Linked DNA regions of Caenorhabditis elegans. The protein of the gene in region 2 interacts with the protein of the main gene of each other region in a pairwise test. Each region holds a gene or a part of one and is shown on either strand. Other genes may lie near its edges.

Evidence for each region.
Region 1: the proteins of gsp-3 (region 2) and akt-2 interact in a two-hybrid assay, tested with the Caenorhabditis elegans proteins (one large-scale study listed by BioGRID).

Annotation. Positions count from the first base shown.
Region 1 is NC_003284.9:14,144,118-14,153,917, reverse strand, and holds akt-2 (Serine/threonine-protein kinase akt-2), read right to left. Parts: upstream 6,219-9,800; 5' UTR 6,212-6,218; coding exon 6,117-6,211; intron 5,914-6,116; coding exon 5,805-5,913; intron 4,913-5,804; coding exon 4,712-4,912; intron 4,669-4,711; coding exon 4,549-4,668; intron 4,325-4,548; coding exon 4,127-4,324; intron 3,656-4,126; coding exon 3,464-3,655; intron 3,354-3,463; coding exon 3,225-3,353; intron 3,178-3,224; coding exon 2,815-3,177; coding exon of another isoform or gene 2,770-2,814; exon of another isoform or gene 2,538-2,769; coding exon 2,358-2,537; 3' UTR 1,950-2,357; downstream 1-1,949. Other genes in the region: ceh-89 (Homeodomain-only protein), read right to left, coding at 9,727-9,738. UniProt on the Caenorhabditis elegans protein: Acts downstream of PI3 kinase age-1 and kinase pdk-1 in the daf-2/insulin receptor-like transduction pathway. Essential role in regulating developmental arrest at the dauer stage.
Region 2 is NC_003279.8:4,707,151-4,713,991, forward strand, and holds gsp-3 (Serine/threonine-protein phosphatase PP1-gamma), read right to left. Parts: upstream 3,563-6,841; 5' UTR 3,482-3,562; intron 3,287-3,481; 5' UTR 3,272-3,286; coding exon 2,816-3,271; intron 2,715-2,815; coding exon 2,322-2,714; intron 2,275-2,321; coding exon 2,206-2,274; 3' UTR 2,109-2,205; downstream 1-2,108. Other genes in the region: W09C3.3 (Methyltransferase FkbM domain-containing protein), read left to right, coding at 453-692, 755-826, 948-1,098, 1,147-1,217, 1,261-1,377, 1,448-1,612; W09C3.2 (uncharacterized protein), read left to right, coding at 4,278-4,320, 4,365-4,701, 5,013-5,349, 5,492-5,599, 5,733-6,065, 6,114-6,296.

The DNA.
Region 1 (9,800 bases), on a different chromosome or scaffold from region 2:
GGAAAACCACAGCCTGCTTGTTTTTGCGCACACCGAAGTACTGGCCGAAAACCACTTTAAATTGAAGGAAAATTCGAGTTTCAATCGAAAACATTTGAGACTCGAAACTTAAGTTCTCCTTCCCAATACCTATCCATAGTATCCAAATTCATTGTGATATCTCTATTCGTTATTTTTAAAACGATAATTAAAGTTTTGCCAAAATTTCTGCACATTCCCCCTTTTCTCTCACACACACACCCACCTCCCCCTTTCATATTTGGTGTGTTTTCGGTCAGTTTTCACCATTGTTCCGGTCAAATCTCTGTTAGTCTTGCTTTTTTTCCAATTTTTTTTTGGAAAAATGTTGAATACATCGAGAGGAAGCGAAAAATATAATTTTTTTCCAAAAAAGGTGGATAATCGTATCAAAAATCGAAAAATGAACATTTATCTTGAACAATTTGCATTTTTCCATAAAATTCACAAACTTTCCACTATCGTTTCGGTTTTTATGTTAAATTTAGAGTTAATAGAATGATTCAAAATGGAATCTCAAATCACAGCTCTATCCGATCATTTTTCGCGGAGATAGGTTATTTAGTTTTTGCACATGGAAATCCAGTTTTCCTCTGTTCCTGGACAAGTTTTCTACTATGCTTTTGATTTTATTTTCTAATTTTGATAATTTTCACTAAAGAAAGGTAGACAATCTAAATTTGGTCGGCTATGACAACTTTCAGTTGACTAGTCTTTTGGATTATTTGAACGGATTGTTTTCAATCGATCATGTCGATTTGGCAATTGACCATGATCAACTTTTTGGGGAGTTCAAATCTGCTTTGAGCCACCCTTTGTTTCGGAAATGCCATTTTCTAAAACTTCTCGGACATTCGTACTTTGGCACTGAAGATATGGAATTTATATTGAAGAATTTCGATTCGAAATATGGATTCCTGACTTATTGTTTACACAAGGACAAGATTGATAGAAAGCTGGTAAGTTGAAAATATCTTTGCTGAATTATGAGCATATTCACATTTAAGTGGGCCAATATTCCACGATTGGACATCGAAAAAGGCCCAGGATTAACACTAGACGATTTGAAAATGATGGATTGCGAGAAAATGAGATTTTATGATCTCAATACAGTCTCGGCAACAAAACGGAATAAGTAAATTCATTACTGGCTGGCCGGGAATTCGCCGAAACTGAGAAGACTTCAATTGAACTACTGGTGGCATAATTGGACGGGCGAATTATTGAAAGGTTTATCATATTCCAAATGGAATCCAAAACGTAGAGCAAGAATCTTCTGGTATGTTTAATTAAGGTCTTTTCCAAATAATAACTTTCTGGAATTTTCAAGTCATAAAAATGGAGGGAATCATTCTGATATGCATTATTCTTGCTTAAAATCTAGGGGAAAACAGGGAAAAAATAAAAAGAAAAACTACACTTTAAAACCACATAAGCTAAGTCGAAACTTAAGCTTTCTAAGCCGACACCTGATTTCAATTTTAATGCTTAGCCTAACCTGAACCTAAGCCCAAGCCTTACACTTAACCGGAACATATGTCTAAACTTAAGCCTGCCAGTTGAAAATTCAGTTTTTTTTAAATTGTCGTTTCAGTGATGATCTTGAATTTGTGGATTGCACATATGGACTCGATATTGAGAGAAGTGATGGTCTACTCGAAACTATTCTAATCGAAAACTTTGCTATGTACTTTCTCGTATGGCATGACAGATTTCCACAGGATCCCCGAACATTGTTTCACTTCTCGAAATCTGTTTCAATTCCAATTACAACTTATTAAAAGCATTCGTTTTTCTATGTTCGAAAGTTTTGAGATATAATGCACTTTTTTATTAGACATTCAAAAACTGAACTAAATAAATTCTGATAAAAGTTTTCTTTGTTACTTGAACTGAGTATTTGTCTTAATGTAAAAGTACTGTTAAGTCATCCATGTGAGAAAGGTTCATTCCCGAGAAAAAATGTCGGCGACAAAATATCAAGAAAAAGATGTTATCAAGAAAAGGAACTGTGTTTTAAAAGTTTTAAATATACCCGAGAGATGGGTATATGAATCAAGTACTACAGAAAAACATGATAAAAGAGCATTGTCAAAAAAGTGATGCGAAATGGGGAGTTTTAACAGGAAAGGAATGGAAATTAGCCCAGAGGATGTGAGCAACACGAAATGTGCTCTACGCAAAGTTTCAGTTTTTGGAAAGGTTGAAATGTTTGAAAGAGATTTTGTTAAGTTCATGAAAGAGATAACAAGTTTTCAAAGGAGACAATGAAATGTTGACAAAATTGAGTGAATGAGAAAAAAACGTACAGAAAACACAAAAAATTGTTGAAAACAAAATCATCTTATTTCGTATTTGTCAGCGCTTCTGTTCGTATCATAAGATCGTTCCAAGCTTCCCGACACGTAGTATGACGCAAATTGTATGAAGTTGGCTTGTAATTCTTCTTCCTCATCAACTGTCGGAAGTTCTTCCCCTCTACGTGGAGGCGTCAGTTGGACCGGCATTGATGTGAACTCCTGAGTATATGTTAATATCATTTTTGAATCATTGGTTCTCTTATTTCTAGAAACTATGAAAACTGTTATGAAAATTGGAAAATCCTAGTCATTAAACAAAGTGTTGTTTGTGTTTCAGTATCAGTAAAAAAACTAAATGAAATCTTATGTACGTTGGCATACATTTTTTTAAAACTGTACTAAAAATAACAACACTTTGCCCTAATTGTAAATCGTTTACTCTAAAAATTACTCATATTGCTTCTGAAACTTTCAAAAGAATTGAAACGTAACGTACTCTGTCAAAGAAACTCGTGTCCGTTTCAGACATCACATTTGGCTTAAATGGAGGTTCGACTTCTTTTCTTAATGTTGCTTCCCAATCCACATCTTTGAAAAATTCAGCTCTCGAAACTTCACGTGCATCATCAGGACCGGCACCAAGCCGCTTAGCTGGGACCCTTTCGAGTAGTCCAGATAGTAATGTTACGGCTTCTGGGCTTAACCTATTCGGGAACTTCAAATCACATGTCGTAATTAGTTCGAAGAGTTTGCCGTTCTCCTTTGCTGAAAATGGAAGCCGTCCACACATCATTTCGTACATGACCACTCCGACTCCCCACCAGTCAACACTACGGTCATAGTCGATGTCTTCGATAACCTGAAACAATAGACTAATAACTTGACGCGAGAATTGAAAGGCTTTACCTCTGGTGCAAGGTATTCTGGTGTTCCGCAAAAGGTGCTTGTTTTATCTCCATATTTGATTTCCTCTTTGCACAACCCAAAGTCAGTGATTTTGATGTGACCATCTCTGTCGAGAAGCAAATTTTCGAGCTGAAAAAACAATGGAAAAAACAATGAAAAAACATCAAAGTTGTGAAATTCAAAAATTTCTGACAAATACTTCAAGTTGTGATAACCCCTCTCAAAAAGCTTCTACTTACTTTCATATCACGATACACAATATTTCTGTGATGAAGGTATCCAAGAGCAAGTATGATTTCCGATCCATAAAATCTTGTTCGTGCTTCGCTGAATGTTTTGCACCTCTGAAGATGGGTGAACAGCTCGCCACCATTTGCAAACTCCATCACAAAACAGATGTGATATTGTGCTTGGAAACTGTATTTAAGTAGCTGAAAAAATATATTTGTGGCACTGTGTCAACAACTGGGGAATTCAAATATTTTAAATAATTGTAAGTAAGATATATTTGTAAAGTTATGGCAATCGATAAATTTATAGGAAATATGTATTTCAGAGTTTCTTAGAGAAAAAAAATATGGTTCCACGGAAACGCCCGCCCTACTTCGGCACGCCCATGCGCCAGCATTATCACACTCTGTGTACTGCTGCCGACGCCGCGCAGGACCTCGCGCCACTATAGCTACGTGCAACAGAGAAAGGCGATGTTGTGAGGGCGGCGGGAGTGTGGGGCGTATTGTGGTGCTGGCGGGCGAGAGTAGCGCCATCGTTGAAATCCTAGTGTGCATTTATCCGTCTCTCTAAACATGATTTTTTCACGAAAAAAATCATCTACTTCAATTTTCACTGACATCTGCCAACATTGTACACCGACTCAATATTTTTTCGACCAATAAGCATACCGTGAGAAAAGGGTGAACGCAAGCATACAGAACTCGATTTTCAGTCAAAGTGTGGGCCACCTCAGAACGATCAACGACCATTTCTTTTCTGATAATCTTAATGGCGTAGAGCTTATCAGAACTTTTCTCCCTGCACAAAATAACTTTTCCGAAGGTTCCTTGACCGAGAACTTTGAGGAAGTCAAAATCGTCCATCGTCTGCAAAATTAAATAACTACATACATTTAAGAAATAATAGAGATACAAAGCAAAACTTGAATTTTTAGCGGAAAATCAGAAAAAAAAGTTTCGCTCAACCTGTCAACCAAAAAAAACTTGTTGCGCCTTTCGAGTTAATCATTTTTACTCAAAAAACTTTCTTTAAAAACCTCTTATTTCCACATATCAATACGTGGATTTGTTGGCAGGATTTTGAAACTTACCACTGTATTTTTTCTTGGAACTTCCTCTGGTTCGTCGATATTCATTACAGTTGACTCAAAATCATTATCCGAACGGGTGCTTGTTGCGTCCATGTTCACATCACTTTCTCCAGACGGATTCTAAAAAATTTCATGAAAATTTTGAATCTCTTTACTTTCATACTCCATTAGTATCTTCCTCCTGCATGCTGGTATTTCCTGCATTTTCTTTCAAACGATTGTGACTGGATACAGCTTGAATTGCTTCAATCCACATCTGACGGAAGTCGGCGCTATCCGCATAAAATGTGCGTTCAATGACAGTGGTCCATTGGAGACATCGCACGATAAACATATTTGGTCGAGGTTTGTCAAGGCAAACCGTCTGAAATAAAGCATTTTGGTAGTTGCGGTTTTCAATATGGAAACTGCCTACTGGCAATTACTTAAAAACTTATTTGAAGTTCAGCTAAGGTTTTCAAATTTTTACTAAAGAGGGATTTCTACATATGTATATTACTGGGGTACTAACTTTCTGCTTAAAGGTGGAGTAGAGCCAGGGAAGATTTTGTTCAAACACATTTTTAATAATCCAAAATGTCCGAATATCATAATGAAGCATTCCAATAAATTTTAGATTTTTCATAATTTCCGGTCAAAGTTTTGGCAAATTGCCAAAGTTTTGAAAAGTATGAGTTTTTGAAGAAATCGAAAGCAATGTCGAATGTTCCGACCAGGGGTGTGCGGCAAATTTCGAAATTTGCCGCACACGTCAAAAATTTGACAGTACAATTTTGACTAAAACTGTTGATTTTTTCGCCAAAAATTTAGTAAAATGACAACAAATTGAGTTATTTTGATGTTTAAGCAGACACACTACATCTAACTTGTTCAGAAACCAGAGGTGTGTTAAGAATTCAGTAGTTTCGGTGCTCCAAAAAATATCAAAAAATATATAATTTTTCCGATTTTGTTAAGCACGGCAAATTTGCCGAATTGGCCGTGCTCGGCAAATAATGGAAAAATAGATTTGCCGAATTTGCCGAGCTCGGTAAATTTTGAGATTTGCCGCACACCCCTGGTTCCGACCCTTACAATGTTTCAATGGATATAATTAAAACAGATATACAGTATAAAAAATGTTGGAAAAAATTCTTTTTGTCGACTTCCAAAATAATGGGTGGCAAAAACTTAGTAAATTGTCTGGCGCTACTCCACCTTTAAAAGCAACGATTTTGAAAACTTTCTAGTAACCATCTACAGGTTCAAAAACTTACCGCTGCGTCTCTAATCATAAAATTATTCAGTGGCTCTGGTAACGGCTGATCTTCCTTTGGCTTTGACCGGAATCCAAGCAACGTTCCATCTCGAAACAAGATGAAGTACCTAAAATACTGACATCTTAGGATTTAATTTTCATTTATTTCCAAATTAGTTTTGGTTTCCTGTTGGAAGATTTTCATTTCCAATTCAGTGCAATTAAAGTGAAAACTTTTTGAATATCTTTTCATAAGGGACAGTAGCTATGAAACTTAAAACTACTGTACTAGATTGGATACATAGGCCTGGTAAAACAATGAAAAACTTACCTGGGGCGCCAATTACGAATGTGCTCTCCTTTCTTGTGAAGCCAACTTTCAATAACAATGTCTTCTTTTTGTAGATGGGCGTTTTCAGTAGACATTTTTACGCTGTAAATAGTGATAATTCTTTCAGAGATTTTGTTTTAAAAAAGAAAAATACGTCGTTAAAAAAATACAATTAAAAGGTAGTTTTAAATTATGGTATTTATGTACTATACCTGCCCCAAAAATGGAAAACCACGTGTCCCACTACGGTGTGATCTACAAAAAATGCGGGACTTTTTAGCCACAAAAATGTGACGTCAGCACGTTCTTAACCATGCAAAATTAGTTGAGAGCTCTGCGTCTCTTCTCCCGCATTTTTTGTAGATCTACGTAGATCAAGCCGAAATTAGACATTCTGACACCACGTGGAAACCCTATTGGCAAAAATTTTTAGGGCAGATATACTACACGAGCACTTAAATATTACAACTTTTCCATTACATCTTAAAAATTTACAAACATAGTTTGAACTTCATGGTTATGAAACATTTATAACAATTTAGTTTTAATTGATCATATTTTCAATAAGGCTTTGAAGTTTAATTTTTTTAATTCAACACTAATTAGGTTCTACGACAATTTTTCCTCCAAAAAAAAATCTAACGAACTAAGAATTCATAGCTTTGATAAAACACGAAAAAAAAAAGAAGAAAATAGTCGTTGGCTACGAAAGACTATGGGAAAAACAAACACCCCTAGTGACGTATTGTGGCAAACAGAGGAAAAGGACAGAAGGAAAAGATTGCAGACAAAACTTGAGCGGAGAAGCAGAGAAACGCCGGCAAGAGAGATGAGAGAGAAATAGAGATAGCAGCGAAGAGAGGGGATGTGACCTTTTTTGCTGCGGCAGGAAAAAGGACGAAAACAACTTCAGACACTATTTCTCCCCCCGTCAACAGCATCACGAGAAAGGTTGCGTTTGAATATTGATTTTTTTGGAAAGCGAGATTTGTTTTCAAAAAAAAAAAGAAGAAAATTCTGGAATAATGAAATATGAGAAACATGTGCGTGAAACTAAACATTTTCAAATAACGAGGGAATGTGAATTCTGGTGGATCAAGTATAAAGCAAAATTATTTTATGTACGCAATACGTTGCTCACAATTTAATAACATTTAGTAACTTGTTTTCTCTTCAAAACAAATTATTATTCGAATTTAACTTGGGGAAAATTATATAAACCACCTTAAACAAAGATTCAAGTGACTGTATTATTGTTTTGTAATATCATAAATGCGTTATAATGAAATTTCCACTGACACGTGGTGTCAAATTGTCTCAGTTCTGTTTGATCTACGTAGATCTACAAAATTCGCGGGAATTTAGACGCAGACATTTCAACTGAATGCGCATGGCTAAGAGTGTGCTGACGTCATATTTTTTGGGGGAAAAAATTCCCGCATGTTTTGTAGATCAGACCGTGATGGGACTGCCTGCCACCACGTGCACAAGAGCTACTCCACCTTTGCTGCAAATCTCTATTCTTTTGGTTAACTGAACAAAAAGTTTAAGCAGAAAGAGGCGTATTTCACTGGAAGTAGAAGTGTGATGTTATATACAATTTTAGTTATTTAAAGCGGAATAATTTAACGAGGTATTCCTGTGAATTTTGACTGTAGGCGTTCGTCTACTTATTTCCGCCGTTCCGTGCAATTTTAGTAAAAATCTATAATTTTGAAATCTCTAAAATAAAAATGAATTTCAAAAATGTATAATATTTCCTAACGTCTAGTGGAACTACATAGGTAACTTTTTGTCTGGAGTAAAATGGGCATGGTGTTGAAACAGTGAAATATGTGATTTCCTTGTGATATTTGTTGTATGACAACCGTCTTACTTTGAAAAAACCAACGAAGCAAAAAAAGCATGCGGTCGGAAGAAAGTGGTAAACAACTTGCCAAGTGAAAAATGCATCCAAAACCACAAGATGATAAGACAACCGACAAACAAAAAACACAACATAAACTGTAAAATGCCGGTTTTTTAAGTGTCGCAAGACATTAAATAACAAATTTTTGAAGTTTCGCAACTCTCTTTTTCTATATTGTTTACCAGATGTGCAGTTTTTTTTCTTTTATAATAATATGAACTACTAAAAACAAAGAATATACATTTTAGAGATTCCGAAAAAACGACAAAAAAAACCGAAAACGTGGGATTTGATCTCTGAAAATCCACAAACAAGCATGTCAACAACGTCTATTATTCAGTTGTTTTTTGGTGTGTAGTCCTTTATATAGAACAAGGACACCACAAAAACAGAAACGTGCAAAATATAAAAAAAAAGACATATTAATTACTCGTTCTTCTCGCAGTGGACAGATATGAATTTTTATTCGAATATACTGCTATTTTGTATATTTTGTCTGCATTGTTGTTATTAGGCCTGTGGAGTGGGTCGCCCCATTTTTTTTGGGTCGGCCGGGTTGGGGTCGCGTCCCCGACCCATTTTTTGGGTCGGGGTTGCGGCCCCGACCCACTTTTTGGGTCGGGGTCATGTCCCCGACCCATTTTTTTCAAAATTTAACAGAAAGTTATCAAAAACTTGAAAAACTATTTTTTGTCAAAAAACACGTGTAAAAGCTGAAAATTATAAAATTATCGTATTTTCATCAATTAAAAAAACATATCCTATTTTCGATACAAACAAGCATAAGAGTCAACGTTTAAACACGATTTACAACAAAACAAACTTTTTTTTTCAATTTCAGACATTTTCCGAAAATGGGTCGGGGACGCGACCCCGACCCAAAATTGGGTCGCGGGTCGACCCATCTCGACCCATTCAACAGGCCTAGTTGTTATTAGCTTACAGTTTCAATCGGTAGGCACTCAATTTTTGGTATATTTGGAAGCCGATTATCCGAAAATGCACGTAAAAACACGGAATAAACAATTTAAATTAAATAGAAAGTATCAATTAAAAATATTAACAGCGCATTTCAAAAATATTAAAAGTTATTAAAAAATACAACTGAAATGGAATAAAATAACTTGAAAGCAAGACTGATAAAAGTTCACATTTTAGTAAGACAAATAGATAAGGACTGGAAATGTATGTCTCAATTGATATTATTGAGTGCAGGTCCAATAGAGAAATAAATGTAGCATAAGTATTAAAGCAACATCGTTTTGAAAATACTGTAGCTTTGAAATCTCAAACAGGTCGGCAAACCGGAAACATAAAATAAGGAAAATTTAAACAGTTCTCTACAGAGCATGCTTGAGTTCTCGTAAATACTTAACGTGTTTTTGACATGGTGAATATGGGAAATTGATGATTGGAAAGGATCTGTCAACATTTTTTAAAAAATCCTATTTTTCCAAGCAAATATAATAATATGGGTTAATTACAAGTCGTGAAAGGTTAATTAATTCAGATATTATACGATTGTTTTTTTAGATTTGTTAGGTCTGCAAAGAAGGATGGAAAAAGGACCCTTAAAGTAGATGTAAGAGTGGAGTCAGTGAAAATGGGGAACAGACAGATAAATAGTTAATGTGTTATCTTTATTTTAAAATGCTGCTTTTTTGTTGTCAATACAATGGGTGTTTCTTCAACAATTCTTTTTCAGATCGGGTCCTGAAAATAAAAAGTTTAGTTTTGCAGAATATCAAAAAATATAGGGTTTTTCTTCTTACAAT
Region 2 (6,841 bases):
GAAAAAAAATTTTCAAAAAAGTTCATTTTAAGTCAGATATTAATTTTTGAAATCATGAAAATTAAATAAATATCCCAATAAAAAAATGCGATCATTTATATGCCTGGAGGTCAGTTTTTTTTTATTAAACTGGAAGCTTCTGGCACCTAGAAAAATGTTATAATTAAATTCTGGAAGCGCTTAAAATTTGAAACAAGTCCCCGAAAAAACATTTAAAAAAAGATAATTTTAAGTCAGATATTAATTTTTAAATTTATGCAAATTCAGTAAATCTCCCTATAAAAAAATGCGGTCATTTATATGTCTGAAGGCCAGTTTTTTTGATTGAACTGGAAGCTTCTGGCACCTAGAAAAATTTAGATATTAAATTCTGAAAACGCTTGAAATTTGAAAGAAGTCCCCGAAAAAACATTTTCAAAAAAAGTTCATTTCAAGTCAGATTTTTCTTTCAGATCACTCGAAACGGCAAAACTCTAATCCAGCTGAATTCTTTTAAACCAAAGTTTTTCGAAGAATGGAATTCGTGCGTTGCTCAAAAATTTCTGGACATAACTACGAACGCAGAAGACTTTTGGAACAGTTTCAAGGGAAAATCTCGAACTTGTGATTTTGATACAAATGTCCATCAATCTCTACGAGCTATTCCACTGAAAAATTCCGATGAGGTTAAATATGCAATATTGCCAGTTCGTGTGAGTTTTTGAATTTTTGAATTAACGATTTCCACTTTTTTACGAATTGAAATTTGTTTTAGAACACTCTGAAAGATGTGTTTATAACACTTGGGATTGGACAGGATATAAGTGCTGAGGTGGCGTTTCAGAAGGTAAGAACAAGCGCGGCAAATATTAATACATCATATTTAACTAGCAATTGTAAGAAAAATTGACGAAAATTTACTTTTGTTGGTAGCTTTTTACAGTGTTAAAAACATATTTTTAATTCAGGAAATGCACAACATTGGACACAATGTTACTTTCTATGGAGCTGACCCAATTGTGGAAGGAAATTCAGTTTTATATTCAAAAATTGGAAAATATTTCCCATTTGCTGTTGGTGAGAAAGCTGGATTTTCAATGGCTAGTGTACTTTCGAAAGGTGGGAAAACTTACGAAGTTTTAATTTTAATTTTTTTTGAATTTCCAGGAGAATACATTAGTATGCCAGTAGTTCATGTAGATTTATATTACTTTTTGAAAGAAGTTCTTGGTGAAAAAGTAAGAAATATCTTGAATTTTAAAACGAAAAGACTTTTTAAAGGTTATTGATTATTTATGGATGGATTCTGAATACTCTGAATATGGGACTTTCGATATTTTCTATAAAAATGGAAAATTAGAACAATTAGGAATTACTTTTTGTCAAATGAGTTTGGAAGTGAGTTACTTCAGTTTAAATTTACATTTGAAACTTCCATTAATCTATAGTGAGAATATTCATATTCCAGGTTCACAACCCAAGCAAAGAACAAAAAGAACAGTTCATGACATTTATTAAACGATTGGTTGAAGAAAAATCGTTTGGATTCTTCTTCAGTGACAATGTTGGACACATGAGAATGTGGCTTTTCAATTTTGAAAGCGAATATTGTGTTCGAAAATTTTTTAATTGATTTATTTTCTATTTTTGCTGAGCGACACATTACGGGAATTTTTTTTTTTCAAAAAACAGCTTCACAAATGAGGAAAATATTAATGTTATTAATTAATTTTAATTGAATAAAAATTTGTTTCTATTTTTTTGAATTCTAAAATTTTTTAAAACATGTGCAAAATGTGCATTTTTGATAACCTCCATCCAACAGAATGCATCCGATTTGCCACCCAAGTTCACATGCTTTCCTTGTCGTACGCCGTTCTGCAATATTTTTCAAACATTCAAGAATACTTTTCTCGAAATTACACTCGAATATGATTTCAGGATGCGAACTTTTTTGTCTGATAATACATTCTTGCCTGCCTACCTAGGTATCCTTTGTGCCTGTTTCACTTCGGCTAAATAGGCGGTTTTTGTCTTATAAGCTATCTGCGCAGACACCGTATTTAGCGCGGAAACATGATTGCTAATTGCTGATGTGTGCCCGGAAAAAAAGCAATTAAAACAAAGAAGAATTTTCCTCAATCATTCATTCATTTAAACACACAGACTTCAACTGATTTATCTCATTTGGTTGGTTGGTTGGATGGTGGTGACAGTTTGCAGAGCTTATCCTCGACGCATGGACTTCGGAGTTGGCTTGTACATGACGAAAGTGCAGACCATGTTCTCATCGACCTAAAATATTCGATTTTTCACAAAGAAGTTGTAATAAAGAATCTCACCTTCATTGTTGCAGCCGAATTGTCAAACTGTCCGCAGTAGTGAGGTGCCGAGAAAATGGTGACCATCTTCTTGGAGGCAAAGAACTCGTAGCCGTCTTGAACGACTTGATGTGCACGAGCAACCAAGTCGATGTCAAGTCTCGAGCAAACGTCAGCAACAACATCCTGTCCAAAGACATAAGAGACTCCACGAGTATTTGCCTGCCATCCCTTCACCCATTGATCAGGGTCAGCCCACAACAAGTCGATTCCGATCGATGGATTTGGTGGATCCTGGGGGCGTGGCAGTTGGCGAAGTTGATCAAGAGTTTGAAGATGTGGGGACAGACCACCATGCATGCAAAGGATGCGGGAACCAATGAGTCCACAGAGAGGCATCCAGTTGAAAGTGTCCTGAAATTTGGAGAATTAGGGAGTTGTTTCATTCTTCGCAGCGAAGTGATAATCCGCTACAGAAAGGGGACAAAGTTCGACAAAGTGTCTGCTCTCCTTACCTGGAAGATTGACCAGAGACGAGTCGACTTGTAACGACGGTTGCACTCCTCGTAGAACCCATAAACACGGTTGATGGCTGGGCACTCGTGGTTTCCACGAAGCATGAAGAAGTTCTCTGGATACTTGATCTTGAAACATAACATCAAACAGATCGTCTCGATATTCTGTCTTCCACGATCCACATAGTCTCCAAGGAACAGGAAATTGACATCAGGCGGGAATCCGTTCTTGTCAAAGATGCGCAAGAGATCCGAGTACTGTCCGTGGATATCTCCGCACACGATGATCGGCGGCTCAACCTCCAGGAGTGATGCTTGGGAGGCGAATACCGATTTGGCCACAGCACAGCAAGTCTGGAGTTCCTGCTCGTTGACAGAAGTTGTCAGTCTTCCACCGGACATGCCGACATTGAGCAAACGGCTCATCAAGTTATCGACATCCATTGGCGCTGTCATTATTGTTCTTCTTTACTGAAAAATTATTGATTTATTGGTTGTCAACAAGAATGATGCATCGGAGGGCTTCCACATAGGTAACAAAACGCCTGCCGCGGCGGCCGTGCGGCGACGGCAGGTTTTGAAACAGTGCCTGCCTCCCATGGAAGCCCGATGACCTAGTACACCGATTGAATGCATCACATTTCGCATCGATACCACAAAACATACCTTTGGTAGGCCCGGAGCGATGATCCAAAGTTGTCGTCCGTCGCAAGAATCGTACAATGATTGAATTCTTCAATTCTCAACCACACGTTGACTTTTATCAGCACGTGCAATCTTTTGGTAATTTTTTTTCGCGAGGTCAATTACACGCAAAATTGTTTTGATAATTTTGTTTTTTAGTTTTTCGGACTTCCAATTAAAGGAAATCGGACTTAAAAATAAGACGTTTGCCATTAGAACGCTTATTTTTAAACTAGGACTTCTAGACAAAATGTTTGCTGCGGAACTCAACTCTGATCCCCTGAAAACGCGGGCTGAATAGTTTCCTGGAAGCTTTTTGAAAAATTGTTAAAAATCTAAAAAAAAATTCATCCAACTCGATCAAAAATAATTCCAAATTCAAATAAAAGTCAGGAAGTTTGCCTATTAATAGTAATATTACTAAGAACATTTAAAATCATCGAAAACTTGCGAAAAAACTTTTTTAAAAGTTAATTTTTCGCAAAAACGCAGAAAATAGGCGTTAAGCAAAAGGATAAGTAGATATAAAGGTGTGCCTGCCTACCTTTTAGGTATTGAAATTATCTAACAAATGTACCATTAGAAACAATTGGGTTGGTTAAATAATTGAATTTGTACTTTTTGGGATCTTTAGTGCCTGGGAAGATTTTTCCAAATCGATTTTATCTCCTTTCTTAAAAAAAAAAGAAATCACATTTAAAACGTGAAGATTTCTGGTTATTTAAATTTAAAAAAAAACTAAAGCTATTCTCTGTTCCAAATTTATTTCCAATCAAACATGAGCCTCCACTTTGTGCTCTTTCACAGTTCTCTTAACTATTGTAAGTTCTACTGTTTCCCGCTTAAAATCCCATTGATTTTCCAGTGTATCTAGCTGCAATTGCAAGTTTAACTGCAATTCTAATATCAATTGGATGTACATCTGGACACCGGGAAAATCAACGACACAAGGATCGGAGTGATATGGAGAGCAAATGGAGTTTGAAGAGCTTCAAAAGTAAGAAGAAGCTGAGAAAAGTGAATGGTGATAAGATTAAAAAGAGCAAGAAGAGTAAGAAGAGTAAGAGAAAGGAGGTAACAGTAGATAAAGAGGATAATGAAGATGAGAAGAAAGATGAAAATCTGGAGAAGAAGTTGAAGAAGGATGATGGAAGCTCGCGGGAAAAAGTGGAAGACCAGGAACAGTCTAGGAAAATTGATAGGTAGGATAGGATCAGAACCACGTAAAATTACAAGGCTGCAAATGCACGAATAAACCCAATTGAAAGTGAAAAATACATGAGAATAAGAGAAAAATGAGTTTTCTTTGTACACTTCCCGCAGTTCTTATATTTCACAGTTGATTCGCATAACTCGACCGTTTGTAATTTTCACATTGTGAGCGTTTGCAGTCTCAGTGTGAGCATTATGTCTGATTTATTTTTTGGCAATTGTGCTGAAAATAATTTCAATCGAACAATTAAATCAAGTTCATTTTTGGACCTAATTTTGAAGTAAAGCTGTATTTTTTCAGAAGTATCAAAGATCGTAACCCCAAAAGTTTGGAACAAAAAAGTCATCAGAAAAATGTTGGTGAAGGATCAAAGCGTACTAGTAGCTCTAGAAAGCCAGAAGAACCAGAACGTAGCAGAAGAGATGATAGAAATCGTTTAAGAAGTGAAAAAACAGCCCAGGGCAGTTCGAAAAGCCTTCGGAAACAAGTGAGCAATCGGAGCAAGAGAAGTTCAAGTGACAGGGAAGAACGGGAAAAGCCAAAGATGATTTCAAGCACGAAGAATATTAAAAGCAAGGAGTCCAGTAACGAAAAGAGCCAACGTGGAAGTATTCGAACAAGTGCAGTGAAGCAAGTGGTGAGTTCTAATGGAGCATGTTGAAAAAGAAGATCGGTTTTGAGTTTGGAATAGTAGTAATAGGAATCTAGGCACACACACGATACAATCAAATTTACAGTGCAGAAAAAATTTGGATTTTCTGCAACAGGAATACTTTCAGCAACCAAAATCTGGTTCCAAGCGAGGATCAGTCAGAGAGAGCACGACGAAGAAGCAGTTATTGGAAAAGAATGAAAGCAAGAAAGCTCCATCCGTGAAAGATGATAAGGTGAGTAGTAGGCACGTAATCAGGCTTGAAACAGGTCTTACCAGTTCACATATTTGCGTTTGGTTTTTTTTTTCAAAATTTGCGTGTAGGCACGTAGGCCCCGTAACGCCTCAACTCAATTTTTGTTTTTCAGAGTTCCAAACCCGCGCCAAAAAACCCAAGTTGTGAACGTACTCTAATGAAAACTCAACCATTGTCTGAAGCTCGATCGATCTACGTTGGAACAGGACAGTCGACATATGAATCGAAGCCAGAAAAAAGTAATGGTGGATCGATTTACGCTACAGCTTTACCTGCAATAGTTCCACCGGATCAGGTTCAAAAAGCTTCTTCAATTCGTAAACCTGCTACAGTGACACCCGACAAGTCAATCAAAAAGTCTGCTAGCAGAAAGAGGTCGGAAAAACAAGAAATGCAACTTGTCCGGTATGAATTGACACCAAAAAAGTCGAAGAAGTCTGCAAAAGTGAGCACTTTTCCTTGCGTTTTTAATGATATTAGTTAATTTTTTCAGATAATTCATCACGCAGCTCTTCCTCCAAACATGATGAAAACTTCTTCTAAGCCTAATCCATCTCCATCTAAGAAAACTCAAAAAGCAAAGGAGAAAGCTAAAAAGAGGTCGAAAAATCTGGGAGCAAAAAAGTCGTCGAGCACTGTGAAAGCCGAGCCGAAACGATCGAAAAATCAAAAATGAAATGGCTTGAAACGTTGGAAAAGTAGAGTCTCCAGTATGAAAGTTTGCATGTATTGTCTCCATTGTCTCTTTACGAAATTGAACTATTACTCGTGTATTTGTAGTATTCGAATAAAAACTGAAGAGAAAAAACATTATTTGGTTAAAGTTTCAGGGAATTTCAAGTGTATTCAAACGGTGATATGAGTATTTGATTCCTTGACTCTGGATAAAAATATTTATGCGCCTTGCTGAAATATGAAACTCCGTCGTAATAAGGTCTCGTTAAATAGAAATTTCATCTGCACATTGCAGATTTATCCGCGTTCACTTTTCCATTAAACAAATTTCGATTTTTGACAGCAGATTTTCCACCTCTACTCGTCCAACGAGAGGCGTCTTTTTTGGTTCCTCATAGAAATCCTACTTTTGACAAATCGGATAGAAAAATTTGGAATTTAATTCACTGGTTTCTCGAAACTAGAGATTTCTTGAAATGAATCTGGAACGCGGAATAAAAACTGAAAATGATAAACCTTGATCACTTCTAACAAAACCATGAATGC